Struthio camelus: one gene and its partner. The protein of the gene in region 1 interacts with the protein of each later gene in a biochemical or structural test. Links are inferred from orthologs where the notes say so. Each region holds a gene or a part of one and is shown in the gene's direction. Other genes may lie near its edges.

Region 1 (10,950 bases):
TCAGGTATCCTACACTCAGCACTTCAGGGCTAGGCCTCACTGAAAACTGAGATTACCCAGTGCACTGTAATTTTAATAATGCTCACCAAGTAAAAAAGACTGCTAGACAGGGGAGTAAACTTTTTTGCTCAGCTTTGATACCTTCTCACTGCTTGACCTGCAAAAAAAAAATCTCCATGTGATTCAGTTTTGCCCTTCTGTTAAATACTGACAGATCAATGAGATCTCCCCCTCTGCAAAACATTCCAAGGATGTAAACTATCTTAGAAAAGCACAATCAGAAGTGTTGACTATTTCTACTTGTCTGGTTCCTACTTGTCTGGTTCCTTAAAGGCTTTGCATCACTGAGCAAATGCCCCAAGTCATGTAGCAAGACAAACAGAAATAAAGTCCAGATGTCCTTATGTTGAAATAATAGGCTCTACTATCTAAAAGGCTCCTACTTGCAGAACTATTATAGTCAGTCAGATGTAAAGCAAGGTCTGAAACATGGGAAGAAATTAAAATATTTAGGAGGGGTATATTCCAGCAAGGCCCTAAGCCCACATCTTCCCAGAATCCTTTCAGCCTGCTCTCTTCACAGCAAGATTAAGAGGTACCTACTCGAGTGGCAACAATAATGACTTCTTTCTCAGGGTCGACTTTTCCAGAAGAATTGATAGGTTGCAAGGTGCTCCACACATTGTAATCAAGAAGAGGATCACATACAACCTCTACGAAGCAGAAACAACACAACTCAAGAGCTGAGACTACAGCAGTGACAACAAGTGAGAAACAATCTTTCTGGTCAGCTATAGCTCATCAGCGGTTCTATCACAGCAGCAAGCTTCTGCTCAGCATGGGTGTAAGTCCTGGCCCCAGGAAAAGTCACTGATAAAACATGCACCAGGACCAGGATTTCAATCTATGTACACGCACTGCTAGTGAAGTACTGATATCAGAGCCATTCTTTATGATCTGTTTAGCAGATATTAAGTCTCTTCCTCAGCCAGAATCCCCTCTGCATACTAATTTTCCAAACCAATGACAAATGTACCCCTAAATTCTTCATCGCTTAAATAGTTTATTTTGAAAAGGCTTGGTCAGCAAGCAAATCTTCGGGGACATTTTAGAAATTTTCTTTCTTTCTTTCTTTCTTTTGAGCCATTGTATTCCACTGGGATTTTTATTATCAGTCTTGTCCCACATCATGACAGGGTAAGAGGAATCTGCTTACCTGGATTAAGGCTGAAGGTGCTTTGGATGGAGCTGCGTCTCATGCAGGTAACAGTGCTAGTGACAGCATGCATGTGGGAAAAAAGCTGCATAGCACACAGAGGGTACTCAGGGCCAGATCCATCATGAGGGACATTATGATCTTGATAGCACTAGAGAGAAATAAAAATTAGTATAAGACTTAGTATTTCTGTAATAGTATTGCACACTGCAATACAGCCCTCTTTCTTGAGCCATGTTGCAAATCCCCTCGCCCGCCTTTTGGCAAAGTGCAGTACCTGCTTAATAACTTGAGTCTCATTGGCATCTTCAAGTAGAAAAATAGGGAAGTCAAAATCCTCATAAGAAAGCCCGCTCCCCACGGGATTCCACACAGTACTGTTGCAGTGTGCAAACTGAGGGCCATAATCTTTGGAATAGACACCTGGAAACAGGAAGAAATGGGCAAATCACCGCAGGAAAGGTAAGGGCTGCTGAGAAAGCAGCAGCAAGCATACATTTAGCACCGTTATGGGCTAAAGAACGAGCTGACAAAAGCTTAGAGAGATGGAGCTGGTCACTGCATGCAGCAAAGTGGCAGAGACAGAGCACTGTGCCATGTGGACAGAGTAAGAAACATGCATGCTCAAAGCCATCACATGCCAGGAGGCTGGCATGAGAACTCAACAAGCATTTATCACATGCTGAGAGAGCAGAGGAGGCATACAGAGAAACATCATACTTCAAAAGGAGGAACATACACACCAGCATTTTCTGAGCTCATCATGTGCTGGAAGTACCTCTAAGGCATCCATAATGTGCCAATCATTTTAATACCTAGATACTGCGTGCAAACAGCAGGAAGGCAGTGAGACAACAAATGCCAGCACACCAAACTCATCTCAGGAGTTTATATAGCATCCTTCACAGCAGAGCAGCAGAAACCTTTGTGCAAACTACACAAGGTATAGTAATCTCTCCCCTCGAAGTAAAACACAGTAGTTTTGCTGCATGAAACATTTCTAAAGTTTAGGGGAGCATGAAAAACAGTGAAATGAAAACCCGACTGAAACTGCAAGAGGAACACAGGGAAGCAGAACAGAATTTAAAAAAGTAACTAGTAGCCCAGAGTTGTTAACGCCTACTCCACCCAACCTGCACAAACACAAGAGGCTTAATGATCATGTTTGGAAAAAATACAAGTTTCATATGTTAAAGAAAAAGAAGCTAGAGCAAATCTGGGTCAGGTTTAACATTTTAATGACATAATGCCATTTTATCCAGGGCAGATTCAAAAGCTCATCTAACAGTCTTTCTTCAAACATCAGTTCCAGCCCTTGTTGAGAATGGATGAGATTCCAGCTCAGACCAACTACTTCTAAAGGATTTACTGAGCCTGGACCTTAAACATCATTTTGACATTAAACTGCAGCTGCAATTTTGGCTGGCCTTTGCACTTCTTGCTTTGACCATACAACGTAAAACTGCTGTTTCTCCTCCACCCAACAACAATAAAGACTTTACAGTTCCTTACCAAACCCGTCGTTGGGGCACTTCAAACCAGGAGAGAATCCTTGGGGAGGGCTAGGTTTGGCAATGGCCACAGCAAGGCCTGAAACTCGTGAGGTTCCCTTCAGTTGCAGCATTACCCTCCTAGAATAGAGAACAGAGGAGTGAAAATTTGAATTCACTAACCAAAAGTTACAATCCAATACATGCTATTGCTGATGTACTACAATCAAGCACTGCTTGATGCTTTTGATCAAAACATGCCCCTTTCTCCTTATCTTCTCAGAAATACATGAGATTATGCACATGTCAACAAACAGAAAACAATCACTTCACCCACTTTTCTCCTCTGCCCAGAGAGAAATGAGACAGATGTTAATCATGTAATTTAATTAAATATAGGAAGTGCTACAGCAATGAACATGACTTTAGAATTTACATAGAGCAGAACTCTTGAACAACCAAACCATTCATTTAAGAAGAAATGAACAAACACAGGCACTAAGACAGTAAAAATACAAATGCTCCAACCTTACTGTACATTGGTACAATCAGGCATTCAGGGCTGATTTACCATGCGTCATTTGAAAAATGACATTTTTCATCACCAGATTAGGGACCCTTGTTGGTCCTCTGGGCTCTTGTCACCTTGGGAAGATTAAAACTGATGATGACTCATTACCTGTTGAAAAGGTTCCCATCTAGCAGTATCATATATGGTGGGTGTGGGCCATCTGCAAGCACCCAGTTCAGGTCTTCTTCCTTCTCAACCACATGGATCACCCCTGTGTCTCCGCTGATGGAAGCTGCGGAAAGAGAGCAGGCCCTTCATGTTTCACTGGAGCCTGTTTCTTTCAAACCTCAGAAAAGAAGGACAGTATGTCGCAGAGAGGTTTAAGGAAGAACAGCTCACAGGATTAGAGAGCTGAAGGAAGGAATTTGGTGAAGTAGCACTTTCAGCTAAAACATGCCAGAAAAGTAAATAGGCTTTTTTTTTTTTTAAAGTGAAAAAAGCCAAACATTATAATTTAAGAAGTAATAGCAATAAGCACCCACGTGTTGAAAGCATCTTTTGTCTAAGCTCAAAGTGCTTAAGGAATTTCAGCTACCTAAGCACTACTAGTTTTCTGTGACCAAAGAAAATAAGAAAGGATATAATAGGAAATTGAGGCCCAGAAACAGAAAGGTGCAAAGAGGAGACAGGAACTGCCTCAAGGACCACAATCACAGAAGCAGTTTAGAGCTGCCCATTATCAAAGAGTAAAGATTGCAAATTCAGAAACTGAGTGTTCAAGCACAGCTCAGCACGAGGCCTGGAGCACAGAGAGATAAAGATGGCAAAAGATCACGGTGGCAAAGAGGACTAACAACAAAGCAGGTGGAGGAAGAAGCAGGTCTGACTACTTGTCATTTCACTCCATCCCAAAGAAAACATGCACGTGCTTTGTCCACTGCCCAAGAAGCAACTGTTAAAACAGGTACTTTGTCAATGCCCGCAGTTAGTAACTGTTATCATTGTCAAGAACTGCTAGTGACTAGGAAGGCGGGATTGCAGGCAGCTGTCTGCATTAACACTAGGCTCACACCCAATGATGGAAGTCAGAGAACCTTGTACCCCAGGTCATCTATCAAACCAAGTGCAGCTGCGCTGCCCTGCAGTACCAGCTGACAATCCCACTGCAGGAAGTGGCTCACTCAGGAACCGCAAAATTCAGTCACAAACTAGCAAAACACCAACTCAGAGAAAGCCCTTTCTATATATTACTGCCTTCAGCAAGGAATGTTGATTGAATTGGGTGTCCTTATTTCTCTCTCCGTTCTTACCAGCCAAGCAGTCCTCGCTTCCCCAATCCTAATTCAACAAAAAACTTACCAAGTTAACAAGCGCTGCACAAGCAGCACAACCAAGCCATCTGTTCCCTACAGATCTCAACTTCCCACTTCTTCACCCCCTGCTCCCTTTGTCCAGTCCCTTGTTACCCCTAACTCACTCTGCAGCACGCACACCTTTACCTTGTACCCCTAAATACTGGCTGGGCAAGAGATGGCCTACGCTGAGGCCTGGTTTTATCCTATGCGTGCGCTAACTGACTGCTACATACAAGCAGTAGATTGCTGAGTTCAGAGTGCTGCTCTCTGCCAGGCACTGATCGTCTGTCAGAGACTACAGGAGCACAGCCTAAGGCCTCTACCCTTCAATTTAGCAGAAACTGGTCAGCAAGTACAGCCTTACTGAAGCGGGACTGGAAGAGAGGGCAAACAGCACTGAGAACACAAGCAATGTTGTCAAGGCAAGGCAAACAGAACAACACTCTTATGCCACATCGCTCAGGGCCTGGCCATCCCAAAGGGCAGCTCTGGGGCCCCACAGCAGTACTCACACTGGCAGCCGATCTGGTGGGTGGCATTCAGGAGGCGAACGCACGGCGCCGTTTTGTTCAGGGGGATGTAGATCTTCCTCTCAATAGAGTTCCCCTGGCAGGAGCCTGAGGACAAGAGATAGGCCCACCTCAGAGAGGGCCAGATGAGGGGTCCTGAAGGGAACCCCCCCAACTCAGAAGGAAAAATACAAGGCCCTCCCCCATTTCAGAAGAAGAGAGACTACCCTTCCCCCCAGCTCAGAAAGGGGCAGACGATGTGGGGTCTCGAAGGGAGCCCCCCAGCTCAGAGAGAAAAACAGGAGTCCCCCCCCCATTTCAGAGAGAGACATTTGAGGCCACCTCCCCCCCCCCCAAGAGAGAGGCAGACAAGGGGGTCTCAAAGCTCAGGGAGGAAAATGGGAGCCCCCCAGCTCAGAGAAAGACAGTTGAGGCCCTCTCCGCCTCCCTCCACCGACACCTCAGAGAGGGGCCTTCCTCCCCCCCGCCCCAGCAGAGGCCGAGTAGCCGCAGTTCGGGGGCGCCCTGCCCTGTCCCGCCCGGGCCCTCGCCCAGTCATCCTCACCCGCCGCCAGCGCGGCAAACAGCAGCGCCCGGAGCAGCCCCCGCCAGGCCGGGAGCGGGATCCAGCGGCTCCTCGCAGTGGCCTCCATCCCCCAGCCGCCCCCAGCGCTGCCCACCGCCGCCATCTTCTCAGCCCTTCCGCTTCCTCCACCGCGGCCACAAGGAGGCAATGCCGGAAGTCTCTCTGCACCAGCCAGGAGGATTACAACTCTATGGTCCAGGAGGACTACACGGGACGGAAGCGGAAGTCTCTAGGGGGCACTTCCGGGGCGCCGACGTGGACCGTCAGGGTGGAGGGTCGGTGGCGGTGGATGATGCTGACCAAGTTCGAGACGAAGTCGGCTCGGGTGAAAGGTAGCGGCTGCGCCGGGAGTCCTGAGGCTGGGGGCACGGGCACGGGACACGGGCGCCGGGTGTCCCCGGGCTCAGGGGGCCGGGCCCCCCCCCCCCGCTCTGGAGCCTGCGAGGCCCAGCGGCCCCGGCCGGGGCGGGGGGGGGCGGCTCTAACAGCCCCGAGGCTCCGTCGGCGCGGCGGCTCCGCTCTCACGCCACTGCGGGCCTCGGCAGGGCTCAGCTTCCACCCCAAGCGGCCGTGGATCCTCACGAGTTTGCACAATGGCGTGATCCAGCTGTGGGATTATCGGATGTGCACCCTGATCGACAAATTTGACGAGCATGACGGTGAGCGTGTTCGGGGCGGGGGGGTCGAGATTGGGAAGGCTCGGTTTTGCAATGAGAGTAAAGGCTGAAACTTGCTTGTGGGAGAAGATTGGGGTGAGAGAGAAGAAAGTGTGTCATTTTGCTGAAGGCATTGCTCAGGCCTCTGCTGGTTTGACTTCAGTCCCCATTTGTTTTACCCTGTCTTTCTTCCTGGCCAATTTATTAGTTTCTGAACATTGTGTTCGGGCCTACAGAATAGTGAGTGTATTAGCTTCATTGTCAGTATAAAAATAAACTTGTAATTGTGTGTGAAGGGCTTGGATATTCTGTGATTCCTGTGAGTGCCCTGATAGAAAGGAATATGATCTCAGAGTTTTGCCTGGCTTTTCATTGTTGCGTTAAAGTTTTTTATTTTATCGATATCCAAAAGAATCAGGGAGGGATAAAAATCATAACCTACGTGATATAAGGGACTGTTCCAGCTATCAGGCATCTGTCTCTGTCAACCTGCTTCTCCTGTTTGTAGGTCCCGTTCGAGGTATTGACTTCCACAAACAGCAACCTCTCTTTGTTTCTGGAGGTGATGATTACAAAATAAAGGTAAAACTTTACCCCGATATCTCTTGTTCTGTAAAGGACGTTGCCTAGGCAAGGGAATGTGTTGGGGAAATGCTGACAAGGTGAGAGAGTGAGAGGGAAAAAATAGCGTTAGGCGCTTAAGGATTCTGCTGTTCCAGAGGCATTAGAGATAATTGTAATGAACTGAAGTGTCTTCGCAGCTTGCATTAGAGCCATATCGTAAAATAGAAGAATGAGGTTTGTATGTGAGTTAACATCTTTAATGTGTTGTGAGAGAGCACAAGAAGTCTTGGCAGGCTGTGGCACGGGCTTTTTGTTCTGTTTCTGTGTCGTGCAGGTCTGGAACTATAAATTGCGCCGTTGTCTTTTCACTCTGCTTGGGCACTTGGATTACATTCGCACTACCTTCTTCCACCATGTAAGTCTCTTTGTTACTTAACCCAGTGATGTATGTCTGCTCTCTTTTCATATAAAATGGTATCCTTTTTTTGGCTGCCCTGGCTCCCCCTCCTCCCCCCCCCCCCCCCCCCAAAAAAAAAAAAAAAAACCCAAAAACCCCTGGTCATTCGTGGGGACCATTGGAAAACATTGGGAGGGGGGAAATGTCTGATGTGGAGATTATTATTTCATTTGCAAAATACTTTACCTTTTAGGAATATCCCTGGATATTGAGTGCTTCTGATGATCAGACAATTCGTGTTTGGAATTGGCAGTCCAGGACTTGTGTTTGGTAAAATCAATGGGTGCTTTATGAGTAACTGCAGGGCTGGGGTGCAAGCTATCTTAATTTGTTTTTTTCAAATGGGAGATATTATTGATGTTTCAAAACTGCATAGTTGAAGGAAAAGAACTGACAAAGAAAATTGATCAGTTTTGAATATATCTGTCGGTCCTTTCTTTTGCTCGTTTATTCTGATGCTACTAAACCATCTCTTATTTGTGAATTGACATGTTGTTTGGGTAAAAAAAATTTCCCCGGTTGAAGTAATATGTTGGTATTCACCTATGAGGTTATTGTCATCAGTAAGTAAGCCCTTGAACGCTCTCCGCAAGAACATGCATCCAGTGTTCAGTCACACTAACTCTTGAAGAGTTGCATTTTTTTTTTTTTTCCTGAGTATCACGTTATTATATATCCCTTATCAACCTTCTTCCTCAGACTGAGCTTATTCCTGTGGCTACAAATGTATGTTAGTATCTGCTATGTTTAAGTGGTATTTTCTGTCCTTTTTGTTGTAGTGTGCTGACAGGACACAACCACTATGTGATGTGTGCCCAGTTTCATCCCTCTGAGGACCTGGTAGTGTCAGCCAGCTTGGATCAGACTGTGCGCGTTTGGGATATTTCTGGTGAGCTGCCCAGGTTGAGGGGGTATCCAGTGGCACAGCCCACTTCAAAACTGCAATTGCTGAAAGCCAAGTGAGGCAGGAACTAGTCGGTTTGTATCTGAGAGCAGAAAAAGTAGCTTGTTGACTGCAGGAGCCTCAGGCAGCAAAGTACAGAATTCTCTATTGACGGCGACCCATTGCCCTCAGTTTCCATGAAGTGTAGGATGTTTGTTGGTAGGGACCTCTGGGTGTCATCTAGTCCAGTCTTCTGCTTGAAGCAAGAATTCTCCAGTGATAGATCAGGCCAGCTATAGCTTTGTGCAGTGATGAAAACCTCTGAAGATGGAGATTCCACAACCTAATATCCCAGTGTGTATGTGTGCTCTTTGTGGGTTTTTTTTTTTTTTTGGTGGGTGATGAGTATTGCAGTCAGAAGGCACATAGTACTGTCACTGGATCAGCTTTGCTGATGTGCCAGACTTTGTAGGGGGAATTCTTGAGATTTGTGGTTCATCTTTATCCCCTTGAAAAACTCCTGGAGGCAGCAATAAGTCATTCATTCAGAGATAAAGATAAAAAGGGCTTTTCTCTTTTTCCTTTTGGGTAACCTAGTTATGGATGGGAAAAGGAAGGCAATATTAGAAATTTCTTCAGCATACAATTTGCTTGTCCGTTTCATAAAACGAAGCGTATTCTAAAGACCAGAGCAAGGAAATGCAAATCAGAATTCCAAAGTATTTTGCTAGTAGGTTATTGTTAGTTGTTTCGTAGGTTACAGCTAGGCCACGAGGTGACTTAATGATTGAAATAGGATCCCTAAATAAAAAAGTAAAAGAGAGGAAGTATTAGATGGAGATGAGGGACTGCTTGAAGGCAGGCAGGTGGGACAGAACTGATGGTGTTACAATGTTGTCTATCCCTAGAGATAGATTGTGGTCCTTTATCCCACCTCCCTCTCTCAACGTTGCAGTTTTGGTTGGGCATGCTGCATTGTTTGTGGTACACACTCAGACATGGCCAGCTGGGTCAGCAGTAGGGGCTGGGGACGGGATCTCCTGGTTATTTAAAACCTGTCCCCCTCTCTGTACTGCCAGCATGGGGAGTCTAACAGCTCTTCTGCCAGTAAGCTTTGCTGCTGCATTCTCCCACAGACTCTCTCTTACTGAAAAATGGATACAAAAATTAGGATTTCCCCTGCGCTGTCACCCCACAAGTTTTTCCCCCAAATGACTTCTGATTTGGTTCTAACAGTCTACTGGGAATGGGTATTTCCCCATGTTGTCTGATGTCTCTCATGTGTGCATAATCCTAAACATAGACAGCATCATTTGATACTGAGCTTTAACTCCAGTTCTGAGTGCTGCTGATAACTTCCCATTGATGTCAACAGAAGCTGCAAGTTGTGTTTTCAGCAAGTTTGAGGATTATGAGCACTGGTTCTTTGATGCCCTCAGTTAAATGAGTTAAAAGGCCGTGTTCCAAAATCCTCTTTCTGAAGTTGTCAGCTTTGTTGGCAGTGAGGGAGGAGGAGTTGTAGTGGGTGAATTAAGCATGACCTGGAGCAGGCAATCAAGACTACCCTTTTGTTTTGAATGCCCATGTGTTTTGTGCACTGTGGACTGAAACTTTCTGTCTTCAGAGCTGCTGATAAAGTATCTTCAAATACGGTCCAGGTTAAGGAGTCCATTTTTTACTAGTCTCCTGAGAGAGACTGTGTGACTACAGTCAGAAAGAGCATGCTTGTATATTAAAATGCATGAATATTTGTTTTGTATTATTCACCTGTGCTGTGGAATGAAGTTCTTGCTTATGGTGCTGATATTAACTTACAGAAACTACAAAATAACCTGTTTTTTCTAGCTCTTTGTAATTGTTAACCAGGAGGAGGGTGTTAGTTGTCCTGCTCAGAGTGCGCTTTTGTGTGTACTGTAACATCACACACCAGCTTCTGTTTAACTTCCTCTTAGTTGGCAAACGTTGATGTCTGCTGCTTGGCAGAGATCTTCCTTGTTCTGTCGGGACTGGGATTAGTTCATCAGGGTGACCAGCTTAAGTGAGGATCACCTGAGGATTTGGACTTTAATTCACTGTTATGCTGTTGAGGAGCCCTGGGGCTGAGAGGACCTGAGCTGACAGACCTCAGATAGCATTTGTAGACCTAGCCTACCTCTTTTTGAGCATCCTTAGCAGATGTACTTTCATGATTGGCGAAACCTTGGTACAACTTCAGCCTCCACTGCGTTTTTCTAATTGCCCATTGGATACAGATGGTAAGTTATAGACCCTCAAGGATAAGGCCTGAATTGGGAAAAAGAGGAGAGTAGAGCAAAAGAATTTGCAAAGGACTGTCTGTCGTTCTGTGTTGCCCTTAATATGTCAACCACTGTATTCCTGAAAATGGTTCCCAGGAATGCCCCAAAGCTTTACAGTTCTCTTCCTTCTTCCCTCCTAACCTCTGGGTTTGTCAGTCACAATTAGCATGTGTCCCCTTTTCTCTGGTTATTTTAATACCTCTTCCTCTTGGTGCCCTTGTGCATGTTGAGCCGAGTCTCCTTTTTAAATTTTTTTTTAAAACAGCTGTCCTCAGAATGGCTAACATCTATTGTTCTGCTACAAGTACTTTCTCTTTCCCTGCTCCCTCCCCAGAGCAGCACAGGAAGCTGGTATGTTCCGAGTGTCCTGCCTTCCCTCTAGATCTGTGCAGTTATGCCAGAAATTTTCCACTTGTGTTCCAGTCC
Region 2 (11,453 bases), on another chromosome or scaffold:
GAGCAATGACTGAATGGAGAGAGAGAGAATCCTTATTTCCCTTCATGTCACCAACAATTCAGGTCTGGCTGTCCTTTGCTCGGGAAAGGGATGCGCTTTTGAAGGACATTCTTCCAGGAGATGGATCCAGCCTTTCAGGAGGGGCTCAAGCCAGCAGCATTACGCAGGAATGAAAAGTAACGGAGATGGTTTTTGAGAGGATCCCATCCTCCCTCACCTGCTTCCCCCAAACTCTCCAACACCAATTTCAAGTCAGAATTGTCCACATTAAAACCCATTAGGGCTCAGTATCCCCAAAGCAGGAGCAACATCAGGGTGGTAACAGCCAACCAGCAGGGCTCCCAAGCTCCCTATGAGTAGAAATAAGTCAGGCCAAAGGATGTTATTTCTCTTCCTCAGCACGCAGTCTGTTCTGCCGCTCTATCCTCTTCTGCAGTTTCCTCTTCAGCTGCAGTTGCTTTTTCTCCTCCAGTGTTTGCCGGATCTTCTCACGGAATTGCTTGTTTTTCTTCTTGATCTTGGCCAGTTCTGCCTTCCTTTTTGCCTCCAGATCCGGATCCTGCAATGACAAATGCCAGGATACTAGTCACATGCATAGGGATAGTGCCAGCCCCTTGCCTTTGCCAGATGCCCACTCTGCTCCCTAGCCCATGACTGAGTAAGCTGCAGAAGTCAGACACTAATCCAATCACTTTTTCCGTACCAGTCACCCTTTAAGATAAGTTTCACCACCCCAAAAGGGAGGTGGACAAACCACAGCAGTGAAGAAGAAACCGTCATTCCTCTTCCTTGTCAATGGTGTTATACCAGCTACCGATCAAAGTAGTTTATATAGCAGCAACTCTCACCTTCCCTTCAAGGATCATTTGTTTCCGCTTATTTATTTCTTTCTTTTCATCAAAATCCATCCCCTCCAGTTTCTGTCAAAGCAAAGATAGAGGAGGGCAATCAGCAACCAATCACTGAGCCTGACACAGAAAAGCAGTCAGCAGAGCCTCCTTGGTTCTCACACGCACCTTTGGTAACCTCCAGCCCCAACACTCAGCAGCACAGAAATGCTGCAGAAATGTTCAATAATAGATCAAACCATCAAACCCTATGCTAAGGAAGATATTTAAAAAAAAAAAAAAAAAAAAGCCCACATACATCCAAATGTTTCCACTAGAAAAACTCTTATCTATGTGCTCAAGAAAAAAAGCTTCATATCCAGAGCTGAACACTAGACTGTGACAAATCTCCTTGTTACACCCAGCTGCCCAACGTTTCCAGTCCTCTGAGCAAAGGGGCTTATGCTTGCACACTTACTATTTCACACTCCCTCCTGGTGATGTACACCTGGGTGAGGATGTCAAGCACAAAGCGCTCCTCCACAGAAAACTCCTGCAGCTTCAGTTCTAAATCAGAACAAGACATTTACAGAGCACGGGTCATTACAAAATACAGAGGCAGATTCGCAACTAGTGAAATCAGTATAGTTTCACTGATTGTCAGTGGAACTGTTGTCACTTGCTTTGATCATTATGACTTCTGCAGTCCTACAACACAGGATTAAATCCTCCCCTCTGCCCATAAGTCCCTGTAGCACAAGATGTTGCCTTTATTAGGTCTGTTTTCAAAACAGATGAAACCTGAATCTGTGCAAAGCGTCCCACTCTTTCTGTACACCTCTGCATACACAGCACTGAGTCAGGAAGGAAGGAAAGAAGGAGCTGACTGCTGTAAGAAAAAGGTTACAGAGCAAGCTCTACAGCCCGTTTCCCCTGCACTAGAAATAGCAGGAAGACAAACATGCTCATGCCTGGCACACACAACAGCAAACCCAAAGCTGATAGATTTAAGTGCTCCCACTCTTTCCCAAGCCTTGGCCACACAATCAGGGAAGAGAGACCATTTTGTTGCCAGTGTTCTGGATCATACATCCTACCCTGTGAAATTAGGACTGCAAGAATCACAAGCACAGAGGAGCATGTATCATCCCATTTTAGCACCGTTAACGCTCTCCACTTACTGATTTCATCCTCGATAGCATGTACCAGATGGATGTCGTACTGTGTCACCATTGTAATAGCTATTCCGTGCCGACCTGGAGGATAAGAACACAGTAATATATGAATCTTGACGAGCAGAGGGAGATGAAGCCTAATCCATGCCAGAGGCCATCCATCCCTGTGAGTCAGCTTGGCAGATTATGGTCACAGGGCACTCTGAAGAAGGACCTTTATTTGCTCTGCAAAATCAATTAACTATTGGTGCAGATCAGACACAGCTCAAGGTGAACCATCAACGCAATCTTAGGGCAGGATGCTGAGCCCGTGATCCGAGTAGATCTGACACTGACTGAAAACACCGCACTGCAGCTGCTGCAAAGCCTCCTTACACCCATTCAGGGCACAGCCTTAGCACTGGGATCCCAGTTCTAGCCAGCTGCAGCACTATCTTGCAGCAAATGGCACAGGGTTTTCCTTGCTCACCAGCACGGGCTGTCCGGCCAACCCGGTGAATGTAGATTTTTGGCAAGCCTGGAGTATTGTGGTTGATGACAACTTGTACTGCAGGAATGTCCAAACCTCTGGAATGCAGTAAAAGAGAACAGAAGTTAAGAAACACCATTTTAGTACTCTGCTCTCCCCAAGAGCCCAATATTCTCATGAATACTGCCTTTATTAGCTCAGACTGAATCTAGGACAAACCCTCTCCTCACACTGCTCTCCAACAGCTGCAAAATGGGATGGCCTGCATAAACATCACCCTGTAGCCTGACCAGCCTGCTGTTCCCTCCCTAGACCCAGGAGACAAGCTAAGCCTCACAGAAATCTTTCTCCTACTACAACACATGCACACACTCCTGCTGCAGCAAAACAAAGCAGAATCAGAGCTACTTCATGTACAAATGAGCTCCAAAGTACGTCTTAAATATTCCCTAATCAAAGGGAACAACCCTATCCTACCCAAGTGGGGATTAGAGGGAATTTAAAACTCCTCTCTTGCTAAAGCTACCCTAACCTCCACAGTGACTGTGGTGCTTTAAAAGCACGCCTAAGACCTTTGGCAACAGACACACTAGTTTTTCGTTACCTGGCAGCAACATCCGTGGCAATAAGAATCCTAAAGATGCTGGACTTGAACTTTGCTAAAGCCGCAAATCGCTGCCGCTATAAAGGAAAAGTCTGGATAAGTGATACTGCGATCCTCAGGAGCTGCGTGCCCTGGACAGACCTCTGGCTCAGGGATGCAGCTATAAGCATCCATCTCCCAGACCTGGCCTGTCACTCACCTGTTTCATCATGGAATGCAGAGCTACAGAAGGAAAGTTGAACTTCCTAAGCATCATGTTCAAGACTTGGCAGTCCCTTAAGGCAAAAATACATTTCCTTGTTATATTCTGATCTTTCAAAAGCAGATGAATCAGAACAGAGGCTGGGGTTCCTCTAGAACCCCTCAGAGTACAATCACCACGATGAAGTTAGTTACCGAAGCGCTCTGACGGAGGTAGGGAACAGGACGCCCACTCCACACTTAGCACCCGCTCACCCCAAGAGAGTGACTGGATCCCTGCATGTACCCAGGGAAATGTCACAAGCACCACACTTAATCCCCAGGAACTAAAATCCTAAAGAAAGAGAACAGTACGAAAGAGCGGACAGTGCTATTTTCCCCATCCCTTTTCCGTTATCCATCAGCAGGAGCAAAGGAAGATCAAGGGAGGTAACATAGCTTGACCCTCTGGAGCGTTACATTTGTGGACAGTCCTTCACCCCCAGATTGCCCAAAGGAAAAGGAGTTCATCTGCCAAATTTCAGCACAGACTAAGGAAGTAAATACCATCCCAGTCTAACAAACCATAAACCTGAACTAGAAATGCAAAAACACGTTTACAGTAAGAGCAATCACAAGGAGCAACTTCACTCACTTGCAGGTTTTGGTAAAGACAATAATAGACCAGTCTTCATGCTCATCCTGAAAGGTCTGGATTAAATGGACCAGGTACGCATCCTTGACTGTCTCTGGCACAAGCAAGTAGCGCTGGTCCAATTCATCCACTGTCCGCACCCTGCAGGGAGGGAAAAACAAGGTACCAAAAAAGCACAGGTTTGACAAGCAAAGATGGAGCATGAGGGAGATAAAAGACCGTCAGGAGACAAGATAACGGAGAGGAAGCGTGATCCCACATGTAGTGGAGCAGGTGAAGACTTACTCTGACAAAGCCTCCCAGAAGAAAGGCCTGTTCATGGCAAGACTCTTCAGCTCATTCAGTGTATCGGTTAGCGTGGCACTGAAAAGCAACGTTTGTCTGCGTGCTGGAACAGCCTCTAGGATCACCTCCAGGTCCTCAGTGAAGTCAGTACATTCCTGCTCTAGCAGCCGGTCAGCCTCATCCAAAACCTAGACACAGCCAAAAAATAACCAACAGACTGTCTGCACTCATGCCTACGAAGCTAGGAATCTTAAAAGCAGAAACAAAACTAAATAAACTGCCCTACCAAGAACTTTAGCTTTTTAAGGCTGAAAGTGTTGGAGCTGCGGAGGTGATCTGCCAACCTGCCAGGTGTAGCAATGACAACATGGGGTTTGCGGGAGAGCTCTAGTGCCTGGGCCACCATGTCTGAAACAAAGAGCCATAGAACCAGGTTACAGGCAGCTGAACACAGACCCTAAATAACGTTTGGTCTGTGAAGTTGGGAAATACAACGCTCCCTATTTCTGCTACCCTCACACAGCCTTAGGCACAGAATAACAACTTCACAGCAAGAAGAAAACATAGCACGTAGAAAGAAAAGCGTCACCCACACACTGGATATCCAGTGACCCAGGAAAACAAAACTATTGTTCTGGGTTTAAAACGCTTACCATCCTTATGTCCTTTTATAACTCTTTGCTTCAAAAACAGCTGCCTACGTTTAAGGAAACACTCCCAGTTTAGAGATAAATCACACAGGCCTCTATCCACAGGGACAAAAGGACAGTAAGCCTCTCTAACAACGACTACCTATCTCCATCCAGCTGCTGCAGGGAACAGGCTGCCAAAAGAGAGGCGATTTCCGATGCATTTTGGAGAATTTGGCCCCCACTTGCTCACCCAGTGTTTTGTTCTTTACCAGCCCTGCCCGCACCGGAGGCGGAGAGGACCAGCAGAGGCCCCACGCGGCCCCAACCTCGGGGCAGCGCCACTCACCCAGGCCGCCCACCACGACGCAGTCCTTCAGGCCGAGGGGCTTCCCCAGGACGCGGAACTGCTCGGCGATCTGGTAGGCCAGCTCCCTGCCGAGGGAGAGAGAGCTCAGGCGGGGCCGGGCGCCGCGGCGGGGCCCTGCCCCAGGGGCCGGGGCTCCCCGGGACCCCTGCGCACCTCGTGGGCGTCAGCACCAGGCAGAAGATGCCGTAGGGGTCCTCGGAGAGCGCCTGCAGCACGGGCAGCACGAAGGCCGCCGTCTTCCCGCTGCCCGTCTTGGCGCAGCCCAGGCAGTCGCGACCTGCGCGGGAGGCAGAAGCAGGCGGGCCGTTAACGGCCGCCGGCAGCCCTTCAACGGCCGCCGGCAGCCGTTAACGGCCACCGGGGCGCCGCGAGCGGCGGCGGCCGCGCTCACCCTGAAGCACGGGCGGGATGCAGGCGGCCTGCACGGCCGTGGGCCGGCTCAGCCCCACCTGCCGCGCCTGCTCCACCAGCCAGGGCGCCAGCCCCAGCTCCCGGAAGGCCGCCATGATACCGCTGCCGCTGCCACTGCCGGCCAGGCCGCCGCCGCCGCCGCCACCCCCCCCACTTCCGGCCTACGCGCTGCGCGTCACCGCCCCGCCCGGCCTCCTCATTGGCTGCCTTCTCTCTGCACCCACTTCCGGCGCCCGCTCTGGCGTCATCGCCCCCGGCACGCCCATTGGTTGGGGGGAGAGGAGCGTCCTGTGACGCTAGCTCCCGGCAGCCCTCGCGGCCCAGCTGCTTCCGGAGACGTGTCTGAGGGGAGGGAAATGGCGGCCGGGGGGGGCGCGGGCCCTGCCGGCCAGGGCGGCGATGCGGACGAGCTCTTCGACGTAAAGAACAACTTCTACATCGGTGCCTACCAGGCCGCCATCAACGAGGCGCAGCGGGTCAAGGTAGGGGTGGCCTAGAGGGGGCCCTGGCGCCATGTGTCCCCCCGGCTCCTCTCCCCCGGGCCCGGCCTCCCCTCAGCCGCCCTCTCCCCGGAGCCCCTCGCCTCGCCTCGCCTCGCCGCAGGCTGTCTGCGCTGCCGCTAGCGTCTCTCCTCTCCTGCAGCGCCCCCCGCCCCCGGTGTGGGGGTCTCGTCCCACGGTGCAGCCTGGCGGGGCCGTCCGTGTGGGACTGCGCTGCTCAGGGCTCGGGTTATGGCTGCACGGGTTGCTGAGAAAGGTCTTTTTTGTCGTCCCGTCAGCCGTCTAATCCGGAGAAGGAGGTGGAGAGGGATGTTTTCTTATTCCGAGCCTACATTGCCCAGGTGAGGTTACAAATGCTGCATATGCAGTAGTCTAGCGTTACTGTGGGGCTGGAATCCAGAACTTGTGAATCTGAGTCCTGCAAATTCAGTGCCGTGCAATTTCTAGTAATTCCTCCTTCAGTGTTGGAACGTAACGTCCGCTGGAACAGACACGGAACATGCAGTAGTGCAGTTATGAACGCGATGTGTTGTGTCTAGGGTCAGTGCAACCTGATGAGACCTCTTTGAGAGGTACTTCTTTATTGTTAACACAGTGTAGAGGGGGGAATAATTCTTTATAGGGTTATGAAATCTGACTGTGTACAGTGCGATGGGAGATGTAAAATAGGAAGGGGAGGGGTGGTGTCTAAGGTTTACAGAACAAACTATTCCTGCTTGTGTTCTTAAAATGAATAAATTCTAGATTCTTTTTTGTCTTCAACAGAGAAAATATGGTGTTGTCCTGGATGAAATTAAAGCCAATGCTAGTCCTGAGCTCCAAGCAGTAAGGATGTTTGCTCAATATCTTTCAAATGAGGGTCAAAGGTAAGTCTGATAATAAGTTATAACACTCACGCACTGTCAGGGAATATATTTTCCTATGGAGAATTTCTAATAGAAGTGTAATCTTTATTATGGCTGTCTGTGGTTCTGCCACGAATCTCAAAAACGTAGAATTTTAGGGGGTAAAATCTTTTGGCGTTATTTAGTAATAAAACGCTCAAATTTTTACTACTGCTCTTCACAGAGATGCAATTGTTGCTGACTTGGACAAAAAAATGGCAAAAAGTGTTGATGTAGCTAACACTACTTTCTTGCTGATGGCTGCTTCCATCTATTTCCATGACAAAAATCCTGATGCCGCTTTGCGCACTCTACATCAAGGGGAAAGCTTGGAATGGTAAGTGTAATTCAATATGACATCATTGAGGTGTGTGTTAGCAAAGTCTCTGTTGTCTAGGGAGAGTTACCATAGAAATGGCAGAGATCTGGCTTGTCTCTAAAAAGCTTTGAAACCATTAAGAAACTGTTTTGAGGATTGTCTTCCAAGCAGTAAGTGACTTGGTGCCTGTCCTGCAATAGAAAGTATATTGTACCTTTGTGAAACTTTAGAATTTGATTTTTTTTTTTTTTTTGGAACAGTACTTGTTCGTGGTTGCTCAAATGAGCATTATGGTGTTACAGCAACAGAATATTTGGGAGCTAGAAGCAAGCTTCCCTGTTCTGTGTCCCAGTGATTGTTCTCCCTGCTTTATTGGTTTTCCGCTGCAGGGAGACTTGTCCCTAGTCTCCGGTAATACATCTGTCTCCTATGCAGTAGGTTCCCAAGCAAAGTGTAGGGAGCAGTAGAGCACGCAGCTGTGAAAATCACTTTCCCTTTGTTCCTTGCAGCATGGCAATGATGATACAGATTCTTCTGAAGCTCGACAGGCTTGATCTAGCCCGGTAAGTTTGCCTCTTGTATGCACCCCTTTGTTTCTGAACAATATTCTTGCAGTGGGCTTAAAAAAATTTGAAGTCCTTGATAAGAGAATTTGGATCACCTAGCAGCGCTTTAACACATGCAATGGGCAGAAGAAACTGTGTCTGGGTATGGGTGCACTGTGCAAAATTCCTGTTCGTCATGATGCAAGAACTTTGGAGATAATCTAGCTGGATACAGCTAAAGGAAGAAGCTGTCTCCTAGACTTAATTTCGCCTTTGCTAGAGGGTGATTTGAGTCTCTAGTCATGGGTTATTAGCTTCCCAAAAGGAAGTTAAACAGGGAGGGAACACTCTTCCACAGACTTGTTTCAGCAAAATATCGTAAAGGTTTTGTGCCACATTACCAGGTTGCTGTGGCTGTTTGCTAGAGGGAGAGAAGAGTTGACAGAGGGAACTGCAGCCTTTTGTTTGTATCTGAAAGAACTCCAGAGGATGCATTATCTTTCTGTTACATGGCTCCCACTTTTGCTTCTGCAGCAAGGAACTTAAGAAGATGCAGGAGCAGGACGAAGATGCAACTCTTACTCAGCTGGCTACTGCCTGGGTGAACCTAGCCATAGTGAGTAGCCTAGACAGGGGTCCCTAGTGTACAGCGTCTGAGGAAACGTTGTCCAGAAGCACAGCACTGGCACAAGACTCCATGTTGTATTCCTGATTGCTCTTGTCACGTTGTGCCTTCAGGGAAGCATGTCGTTTGGCAGAGGGGGAGGGAAAGGGGGGTTGTCTTGTTTTTGGAGGAGAGGGGTACTTTTTTCTTTTTTTTTTTCTCTCTCTCTCTTTGTTACCATGGAAATGTATTTTTTCCTTCAAGTACCCGGAGGATATTTGCAGCTGACTTTTCAGGCTGCCTGGCTGTTTTGACTGTTGGCCTTTTCATGTGTGCTATTTAGCCTTTAACTCGCATAGGGCAGAGCTAAACCACAGTTTAAATAATTCATGAAACATCATAATGTGAAATGGAAAGCTGCAGTGCGACTAGCATCCAGGCCTTGCAATTGAACTCCAGACAAAAATGTAATTCTCTGCTCACAGCAGATTGTCCTTAAGCACGTTTGTGATTCTAGGAATAGCAGGACAGTGCTCGCTAAACTCAATTTCAGTGATAAAACCAGCTGCCATAGCTCCTCGTTTGCCCTCAGCACTGGTTTCCTTTGCTCAGCAAGATGTTTGGCACTTTTGGTCTTTTATTCTTTAACTTCCCTCCCATCCAAGGAAACCTGTCTCTGCACAGCTAAAAACTTGCCTTTCACCTTGTTACTGCTCTCCATTGAGCCTTTTGATGCTCACCACTGGCTGGCAAGAATTTTATTTACAACTAAGCATTTGAAATGGGCAGCCAAAAACATATACTGTCTGGCAGTCCCGATATCAGGTATTTAGAAATAAGTAGTCTCCTAAAATTTGGTCAAGACCGAAGCATGCATGCAGTAACCTACTGTGAAGCTGCTAAGACTATTTTAGCACACGCTTGGCCTTGTTATGAAATCTTTCACAGATGGTCCTTGCCTTACAATAGCGTATGGCTATGTTTTCCTTAAGATCTTACTTTCCACTAGGGACCCCACCTTAGTTTTAGCCAGTGGAAGCTGCTGCATGTAGAACCTTTCTGAAGCTGGAACTTTTTGGAAAGCCAGATGTCTGTACCTTCATGTAGTTACAAGGTCTCATGTCATAATGCCTTAATACCTCAAGCATCTGAAGTGGTTCTTTTGAACTGTAGCTAATCTGTTTCCTCCCTTTGCAGGGTGGTGAGAAGTTGCAAGATGCCTATTACATCTTCCAAGAGATGGCAGACAAATGCTCCTCCACCCTCCTCCTACTTAATGGACAAGCAGCCTGCTATATGGCTCAGGGCAAGTGGGATGATGCAGAGGGGGTACTTCAGGAGGCACTGGACAAGGTATTTTCTGTTTTGCCAGGCAGATTAGCTAGAGTTCAAACGTCTTTCGTTAAGGACACGGAGCAAAAATAGCAAGGACTTTCACTGTTTTGTTTCATGAAAGCATTGCTAAGGGTTGTCAGTGTTAATACCTACCTTTTCTTCTGCTTTGCCTTCTCCAGTAAAGTGAGTTATGAATGTGACAGGTAAGATTGGCTTCCACTTGCAACACTGTGCAGGCTGTTACACCTAGTCACAGTAGAGATAAGTCAGGTGAATCAGATAATTGTCTTTGTTTTCAGGACAGTGGCCATCCTGAGACCCTGATTAACTTTGTTGTCCTGTCGCAGCACTTGGGCAAACCACCAGAGGTGAGACTTACTTTATTGTACTCAGCAAGCACAGTATGATGAACCTGTTCCTGCTGCGGAGGGCAGGCTGTGTGTTCCTGGTTGGTAGCTCTGCTTAGGTTTTGAGATCTTATGTGCTCTCCACAGGAGTGGTATTAACAGTGCCCCACCCCCTGTGTTTTCAATATTCAATAAAGTGTTTATGGAAGTACAGTTGTTGTACACTTGAGAGGAAGTCCTGGGTGGAAAATTAGCTCCTGAGTTCTGGGCCTGGTTTTCACTGACTGTTATCTTTGACCTGCTATTTAAGGCCTATTTTAGTGTACATTCTCCACAGGTCTTACTGTTTTTATTCGGAGCTGTTTGCATTCAGTATGTTAAGAAAATTTAGATCTTTACTCCTGAAAATAGGTTCACTGAAGTGTCTTGTTTTAAACTTGTTTTCCGCATCTTAATGTTTAAATTGATCTCGTCCCTTCAGGTAACAAATCGCTACTTGTCACAGTTGAAAGATGCACATAAAAATCATCCATTCATAAAGGAGTATCAGGCAAAGGTACTAATCACTTTCTAATATAAAAACAGATTTATCATGGGTTCATACTGGTGTCTGATGGGGCAAGTGGATTCTTAAGTAAACATGATTGCAGTTCTGAGGGGGGCGAGTCCATGTTCTTTCTCTGATGTCATGGGAGATATTGGGAAATATTAGCCAGATGTTAAACAAAGGAGTGATGCATCTGAACCTAGTGATATTTTTGAAATAATAGCTCTGAGATGTGGATTCTTAGTCTGGGTCAGAAGTTCGCTACCATCAGATAAACTTAAATAGGAGGGACATCCTTCTAAAAGAGAATTTTGGGAGGGAACAGGAAGGTAAGGATGATAGAGAAAGGAAAATGGAACAAATGGAAAAACTTGAACAACTTGATATAGGCCATCTTGCTTCTTCGAATTCCTTATACCTTAATGAGATGTGATTGTGTTCTCTTGGCTCAGTGGTAGTGCAGGTTTCATTAAATTTGCAGTTAAGTTCAAGATTTGCTCATTTTATTTTTGTTTTTGATTTGGAGGAGAATGATTTTGACCGGCTAGTCATGCAGTATGCCCCCAGCGCATGAGGAGAAGGGAAGGAGGCTGCGGATCTGCTCTACGGTACCTTGGGAACTGGGGGTGATGCGCAAAGCCTCTTTGGCAACATGGAAAAAATTCCCTCTGCAAGTCGGTCTGGCTTACTTCAGCATGGTGGGGTCTCGCAATGCAGGGAGCCAATGCTAATCTTGCATATAACTTGTAGCCACTTGAATTTGGTAG

What was found.
Region 2: the proteins of COPA (region 1) and COPE form a complex in vitro, tested with the Homo sapiens proteins (3 studies listed by BioGRID, with this or other methods). The link is inferred for Struthio camelus from reciprocal best matches to the Homo sapiens genes COPA and COPE.

Annotation. Positions count from the first base shown.
Region 1 is NC_090971.1:5,143,442-5,154,391, reverse strand, and holds the start of COPA (coatomer subunit alpha), read left to right. Parts: upstream 1-5,842; 5' UTR 5,843-5,857; coding exon 5,858-5,999; intron 6,000-6,212; coding exon 6,213-6,326; intron 6,327-6,831; coding exon 6,832-6,905; intron 6,906-7,221; coding exon 7,222-7,302; intron 7,303-7,537; coding exon 7,538-7,614; intron 7,615-8,123; coding exon 8,124-8,233; intron 8,234-10,950. Other genes in the region: NCSTN (nicastrin), read right to left, coding at 604-713, 1,217-1,367, 1,494-1,639, 2,729-2,847, 3,386-3,509, 5,085-5,189, 5,647-5,770. UniProt on the Homo sapiens protein: The coatomer is a cytosolic protein complex that binds to dilysine motifs and reversibly associates with Golgi non-clathrin-coated vesicles, which further mediate biosynthetic protein transport from the ER, via the Golgi up to the trans Golgi network.
Region 2 is NC_090967.1:6,123,226-6,134,678, reverse strand, and holds the start of COPE (coatomer subunit epsilon), read left to right. Parts: upstream 1-5,859; 5' UTR 5,860-5,961; coding exon 5,962-6,087; intron 6,088-6,383; coding exon 6,384-6,446; intron 6,447-6,870; coding exon 6,871-6,971; intron 6,972-7,173; coding exon 7,174-7,326; intron 7,327-7,817; coding exon 7,818-7,871; intron 7,872-8,387; coding exon 8,388-8,469; intron 8,470-9,654; coding exon 9,655-9,810; intron 9,811-10,091; coding exon 10,092-10,160; intron 10,161-10,620; coding exon 10,621-10,695; intron 10,696-11,212; coding exon 11,213-11,260; 3' UTR 11,261-11,453. Other genes in the region: probable ATP-dependent RNA helicase DDX49, read right to left, coding at 383-559, 849-920, 1,306-1,394, 2,009-2,083, 2,472-2,569, 3,076-3,152, 3,275-3,350, 3,911-4,051 and 5 more. UniProt on the Homo sapiens protein: The coatomer is a cytosolic protein complex that binds to dilysine motifs and reversibly associates with Golgi non-clathrin-coated vesicles, which further mediate biosynthetic protein transport from the ER, via the Golgi up to the trans Golgi network.